2 linked regions of the Coturnix japonica genome follow. The protein of the gene in region 2 purifies or fractionates together with the protein of the main gene of each other region. This does not show direct contact. Links are inferred from orthologs where the notes say so. Each region holds a gene or a part of one and is shown on either strand. Other genes may lie near its edges.

The links.
Region 1: the proteins of KLHL6 (region 2) and NUDCD3 purify together in Homo sapiens (affinity purification with mass spectrometry; 3 studies listed by BioGRID and IntAct, counting the BioPlex papers as one, with this or other methods). This does not show direct contact. The link is inferred for Coturnix japonica from reciprocal best matches to the Homo sapiens genes KLHL6 and NUDCD3.

The regions. Positions count from the first base shown.
Region 1 is NC_029537.1:94,419-97,954, forward strand, and holds part of NUDCD3 (nudC domain-containing protein 3), read right to left. Parts: intron 1,607-3,536; coding exon 1,463-1,606; intron 1-1,462.
Region 2 is NC_029524.1:735,161-738,972, reverse strand, and holds part of KLHL6 (kelch-like protein 6), read right to left. Parts: intron 3,357-3,812; coding exon 3,191-3,356; intron 202-3,190; coding exon 1-201. UniProt on the Homo sapiens protein: Involved in B-lymphocyte antigen receptor signaling and germinal center formation.

The sequences.
Region 1 (3,536 bases), on a different chromosome or scaffold from region 2:
GTGCCAAAGAGCCATGAAAGCACCCAAGGACATGAAATGTGCCGAGGGCTCGGCCAGATCTGGGAGTGAGGGGAATGGACAGGCACCGTCCAGACAGCGAGCACAGCGCTGGCACACTGAGCATGGCTTCATTGTGCCCCCATCTCACTGGAGGCTGCTGCCCCCGGCAGCTCACACGTCCTGCACGAAGATGCTCAGGACAAGCCCAGTGCTCACAGTTCCCTCCCAGCAGCTGAAGCACCAAATGGCTGCGTGTCTCCTGATGAATGAATGGAAGGAATCGCCCGGCGCTTTCGGCTACTCTGCGCACGGAGAAAGGAGACACTCTGGGGTTGAATTACTCACTCTGCTCCAGTTACCTTACAATTCTTCCAGAGACATTTCATCCCACCATCAATATGTTGGCAGCCAGCTGGAGATCCTCACAGCCCTGAGCTCGTGCTAATTTGAGGCTCCTGCCTCCAGCTCGGGTTGGAGATGAGGGGTCCGCTCCCCACGGTCACAGCAGAAAGCCCCGAGTCTCGCTCTGCCCACACTGCTCCCATCCTGTGTAACACCCTGCTGAGCTCAGGACACGGGCAGGCAATGCCAGCTGCCCACACACAGCCACGTGTGGATCAGCTCCTCCTGAACAATATTGCTCCTTCCCAGGATTGTGCACAAGCCCAAATCAGACGGTTTTCAAAAGTTCCATGTTTGAAAAGTGTTGATGAATGATCCCATTGTCTCCTTTCAAACATCCTTCAGACGGCCAACTGATCTGGAGATGCTCTTCTCTCCCATAGGGCCCTCCTGGCAGCTGGTCTCTTGCCCCAGGATACATCTTCAAGGCCAGGCTGGATGGGGTCTGGGCAGCCTGGTCTGGTACCAGCTGTTGGTGGCCCTGCCTGCGGCCGGGGGTTGGAGCTCCATGATCCATGGGGTCCCTTTCAACCCAGATCACAGAATCTGCCTGAGCATGATTTCTATGCATTTCCCTTGGCACTTCTGCACTCAATGGGATGAACCCGGTAGGATTCCTACTCTAAAGTCACAGCACCTTCGGGTGCCCATCAACTGCCTTCTGTTGTGGGAACAGTCCAGCAGCATCACCCCTCTGCCCACATCGCTAGAGCACACCAGAGACACCTGCAGCCAGCAGCAATTCACTGTGGGGCAGCAGATCCCATAACGAGCTGCTGCCCCCAAACCACCTCGACCAGGAAGACGTAAAAGGCAACGAGAAGCAGCTGCACTGACTGCTTCCAACAGGACCGGCAGCGTGTCAGAACCCCGGGGCAGCACAGAAACAAGCAGTGGGGTTTCCCCTTGCCTGGCACACATGAGCTGCACATTGCACAGGGACAGCCAGGGAAAGGCAGCGTGGGACGCAGCCAGCTCTGGCTCAAGCCTCCAGCTGCTCCCATTTTCCAGGCCAAGCACAGGGAGCTGCAAGGCAAGGCAAGGAGAGGGCAGCCCTTACCAAAACGCACTTCCCTGGCTCCAGGCTCCAGAGGGAACTCTCCGTGTTGATCTTGTGTGTGAGCTTCCCCTCCATGAGCACACGTTGGCTGCTCCCCTCCAGCACTGCCACGCGGATTGTGCTGCTGCTGATATCCACAGACACCTGGAAAGGCAGAGAGAAAAGCATCGCAAGGTTCCTGCTCCATTCCCTGCTGCGCTGCTTGGGGCATGGGGTCAAGAGCACTCGCTGAGGATGAGAGAGAGAGAAGAACCATCAGCTTGTACAGATGGAGGGTGGGAATCCCACTGCCATCTCGGAGCAAACAGCTCTGAGGTGAAAGGAAACCTCTCTGGGGAGCAGCAGGCAGCACCGCCCTGCAGAGACTCTCACAGACACTTCTCTGTGCCTCAGTTTCCCTTCCTGGACAACCAGCTCACAGACTGGGTGCCCACTTGCTGCGCTCCCCAGCTTTGTTTGGCCCCCAAGCCAAGGCACAGCCAGCACCAGGTTCCGTGCATGCACAGGGATGTCTGTGTGTCCCCCCTGCAGCAGTGATACAGGTAACCCTGCTGCGACCCGCCGTGAGGTGACGTGGCCCTCCCGGGGACACGGTGGCAGGCTGCCACTTGGCTGAGCTGCACAGAGCTGCCTCAGTCCCCAGAGAGCCCATCTGCTGCCGCCCTGCATGGCCAGGCTGCAAGGAGCAGGGCTGGGGGGGGGACAGCTCAGGGCCCCTGGTGCTGCTGGCCCTCACCCGAGAGGAGGAGACTGCAGTGAGATTTGCCTGCATTCTCTCCCAGAGTTCCCCCAGATCTTCCTCCCGCTCTGCAGAGCTAATTTGAAATGTTATTACATTATCCATTACCTAGGAGATCTCCAGTGACTCACTAGCTCCACGCAGGCGAGATGCGGGCAGAGCTGCTCCAGGCAGCGGCAGCACCGCGGCTGCAGGACCAGCAGCACCAGGCTGAGCCCTGAACCCATGTGGGTGTCAAGCGGCCATCACGGCACTGACACCCAGCACTGACACCCAGCACTGACACCCAGCACTGACACCCAGCACTGTGCCTGCAGGCCCTCACCTGGGGCGTGGATGTGACCACTGATGCTGCAGCTCCTCCAGGGTGCACAGACGGGACACATGGACCAGGCTGTGCTCACCTCAGCTCCCCATCCCCATCATACACATGTGGTCACTGCCAGCAGGTCTCTGAGCTCACCGAGGTGATCCCCAGTCCCCTTTATGGGGGTTTCCCTCTGAGGGCTGAGCAAAGGGCTGTGATGCTGCCAGCCCCAGGGCAGCACAGCACACACGGCCGTGGCACCGCGTTGTGCCGCACAGCACAGCCCTGCACCGGGCTGCACACCGCAGCGGCTCCCTGGAACACCCCCACCTGCCCCCACCAGCACAGCGAGCACACACAAAGCTGGGAGCCAACCTCGCTCATGTCCTGTGAGCCAGGCAGCAGAGGCTGCTGCTGTGATCTCTATTTCAGGGCTCCACGGGCCCCTGCTGCGCCTCTAAGTGGATCGGGGAGGTGGGGAACGCGAGCTGCTCCCACCCACCCCTTCTCCCCTTTCTGCTCCACGGCCACTCTGCGGAGCTCCATACAAGGAAACCTCCAGCCTACCCGAGTGAGAAGGTGCCATAGCAACAGCCTGAATCCAAAAAGTGTCAGGAGTGCCATTCCGAGCGGCGATGGAGCCGGGCACGCTCAGAGCCCAGGGACCAGACGGAGATTGTTAATCTCGTTCTGGCAGGCAGAAGCCAAAAAACTGATAATTATTTCAGGAGACGAAGCTGCGTGGGGAATGCAGGGAACGCTCCTGTTTTGCAGGAACCCATCAATAATCTGCCCCAAGTCCATCCAGCTTGAAAATTGCTTTGAACCGCCCTGCTCTGGCCTGTGACCCAGCCAGTATCTGCCTGTCCCCTCTGGCTGGAGAGACACAGAGCAGCTCTGAAATGAAAACCCGCCTGCAAGGGGCTGAGGGGAGCACTGGGGGGAGGCCAGGCCCGAGCAGGACATACACTGCCAGGACAAGGAAAGCCAAATGTTGGAGCTGTGGGTACAGAACTAAACGGGGTGCC
Region 2 (3,812 bases):
GCTGCAGAGAACATCAGATGGGAGCTCCAGGAACTCATCGTAGCTCAGGACCTGGGTGAAGTTCTGGATAATGTAGTTCTGCACCTGCTGCTTCAGGCTGTGCAGGGAGTGGGCATCAGCCAGTCTCAGGATGCCAACGCAGTTGTCTGGCTGAAGGGCTTCTGTGAGAAAACTGGCACAAGCATCTACCATGCGCAAGAACTGTGGGCAGAAAAAAATAGACAGGAGCTGGGAGAGACAAGAAATCAATCATACGAGGACAGGTGGACAGGTATCTCCCAGAATGTTGTAGTCTGGAAGGCAAGGACCAAAGTGCTGCCCTGCCCCACATGCAAAGGTGTGCCATCCTGTTCTGGAGATGTGGAAGGAAGAGGAGGACAGCCTGTATAATTTTGATCTGCTAAGCAGTGAGGGCTGTCTTGCTACTGTGTGCTTTAGAGATCTTCAGAGATCTTAGTAACCTTTGTTTTCCTTCATAAAACATAAATGTGCCTTTTGCACACAATCTTCATCAAAGCATTTCCTATGTTTGTGTTTAATACAGCATCACAGCTACTGCCATTAATCTCCTTTGCCCGACAGCCCCGTCAATCTCCCTCAACCTGTTCCTGGACCACAGATATCTACAGTGTGAGCTGGGTTGCTGGTGATTACTCAGAGCAGAAACCATTCCACCAAGGCTGGAAAAGACCTCCGAGATCACCCAGTCCAGCCATCCGCCCATCACTAATATTTCCCCACTTGACCATGCCCCATTTCTTGAACTCAAATGACAGGTTACAGTGCTTTGTGCTGGGCTTTCCTTCTCCTCTGTGATTTCAGATGTAGCAGGACATCAGTGCTTCGTATCAGTTGTCACTGAGTGATGCAATAGTGACATACAGAAAGACGGGCTAGAACAGACACTGTGCATTTCTGTCCATGCCTTTTGGGTCCATTTTCCATCTGACACAGCAAGCAGATCATTTTAACTTGTTCTGTCCCACAGGGGAAAATTGCATAACAGTAATTTAGGGGCAAAGAGGAAGTGAAACAAATAAAAGACACTTTTAAACACCACAGTATTTAGATTTGTCTCATTAATCAGGATAGAATCTTCTAGACCCCTTGATTTTGTGTTGACACATTCAGAACATATAGCAGAGCTGGCCGATCACAGATGTTGGGTGCAGACTACCTGGTTCCTGTTTTACATTTAGATGTGATCAGGAGTTTAGAGAAACACAAGGCCTGGTGCACCAGGCTACACGTGGCCTCAGGACATGCTGCTGCCTGTGACATCAGTCTGCCAGCAGCACGGTGCAGGGCCACACCACTGCCTCTGTGCAGCCAAATGCAGAACCGTGAGATGTGGGTGTGAGAAGCAGCGCTGCTGAGACAGAGCCTGGCTGCCCAGAGTGCAGCACACCAGGACTTCCCCAGCCTGCTGTGTGGCTCCCACCATTGCCTTCACCTACCGCCAAAACTCCCTCAAACTCCCCAGACCTTGCTGGTCAGGCCCCAGTCAGCCCCACAAGGGCAGGTGACGCAGGAGGAGGACACCACAGGCCTCTGCTTCCCCTGCTCCCACTGTCCCTTTTGTGAGGATCCCTCACACCGCCCTGGGCATTTTGAAAGCCCTGCTCTCTGTGAACATCTTCCCCAGTGGCTGGGTCCTTCTCATGCCCCTTCAAATCCATGTTCTTACTTGCTAGAGGCATCCCATATGCTTGCTTGGCCCCCACTCAGCCCTCTCTCTGAATAATAAAGCCTTTTCCCCTCAGTGTGAGTCCTTGTTTGTCCCAGCTTTGACCCAGGCCACGCTCTGCAAATGATTTATTTTCTGGTCCTCAGTCAAATTGGAGAGGTTGAAGAGAGGCACTGCCAAAAACTGTTGCTGGTTGGAGGAAAAAAATAAAAGGAAAGTACTGCTTGGAAATTGGTTTTCTCACATGGTGAAGTGGGAAGGAAAGAAGCGCCCCAAGAACAACGTTACGACAAATGGAAGCATTCATCTTTTTAGCTGTAAATATTTTGATATGAAACATTAGTCTCTTCCAAATGTTTCTGTTGGTTCCTCAGTGTGCGTAGCAGAGGCAACCTGGCAGAATGCTCATAGTTACTAAATCTTTTTTTACACAGAACATATCTTCAGCCAAAAACCTCACCCGTGTATAATGGGAGTCTTTCAGGCCTTATAAATCTTGAGGGCGTCCAAGACAGCTGCAGCAAGGTCTGGGATCTCTGCTCCTCAGAGAACATCCCTTGTTTTCTAGGTTTCTGCAGCTCACTATTCTTGCTAACAGCACCCTCCTGAATTTATCAGTACTCAAATATCAGGAACGTGCCCTGAAAAATTAACCCAGAGCAACCTTTGAGTGCTATCCATAGCAGTACTGGTCTGCTGAAAACATTAGCAAGCTGCATACAGCCCCAAGCACCTTCCCTGAGCTACCCCATTGTAAGGGGTAACTTCCCTGCTGTCCCCACAGCAAGCACTGCCCTCACCACAAAGCACCAGGCTGGTGTCACAGCAACACATGATGTGTTCAGTAAGATCCAGGAATCTTTAGTTCATCATGAACTGTGGTGCTTAGGGAGTCAGGTGCTCCTCACCTCCTTTAGCTAACCCGGACACACACACACACACACACACCGGCACTTGGCAGGTTATGCTGGTTGCAATTTGTTAGGGATTTGCAGCCTGGTACCAGGACCTGCAATTTGCTAGACCTCACAGGTGATTTACAGGACATCAATTATAATTGATGGACCAAAGGCTGAGTAACACTGCTCAGTCTGACTGCCTTGGTCGTGACTAAAACCAGGACACCTGCAAAGGCAGGTGCAGACTGTGCAGTGAGCATCAATCTCCAGGCAAGGAGGAGGTGGAGATGAAGTTACTGTCCCGCTGGGCAGGCACTGGTAGGGCAGAGATGGAGGGGAGCATCTGTCACACACTGCCCAGGGCCCGCAGCCTGGCAAGAGCTCTGGGAGGCAGAGCCCTGCTGTTTGCCTGCCAGTACAGCACCCAGTGCAGAAGCATTCCAGCCCATGGCTGCCATGGCCAGTTTCTACCACAGTGTAAATAGAAACAAAGCTAAGTGCCCCCAGAACCCATGGAACCAAAGAAGTATGCAGTACTATAACCAGGATAGAGCACACTGTAGCCAGAGCTACAAGACTATCTGCGCATTTGAGCTATCTGTACCTGAAAGAGGCTGGCGGCTTCCAAAACTTTCTGCACATTTTGCTTTGTGATGAGCATCTTGCTGGTGTAGGTATAGTCCAAGAGTATATTCATGGTTTCTGCATCAACTCCTTTAAGTATAATCTTCTCTTCATACTTCTCTCTTAGATCATTGCAGAACATGGCCCTGAAAAGAAAGATGTTTATCTTTTATTGCATCCCAGCCAGGATGAGACATTCTGAAAACATTTGGTTATATATATTTCAAAACAAAATACTTGGATTGCCTCATATTTTATGCAATTAGCCCTGTAGCAAAGTAATAAGGAGTATGCTTTTATTGTTTTCGTGCCTTTTTACTCAACTGATAAGGAAGACACTTAGAAATGATATCTCAGAGCTGGGCTTGCAGAAGACCTGGAGCTCCATAGCAACAAAAGGCAGCCCTGAGAAGTCAGTGCTTCTTAGCTACTTAGACTGAGCCCTGAGGCTCCAACACAGCTTTGATTCCACTGGTACCAAGGATGGACCAGGAGAGAATGCATTTTCCTCTGCTAGGTCCTGGTAGAACTATAGAGTTAGTGCCTGTGGGACAGAGGAGTGTCTGGGTAACCAGGAACTGGAGCTGGTGTTAACCTAAACA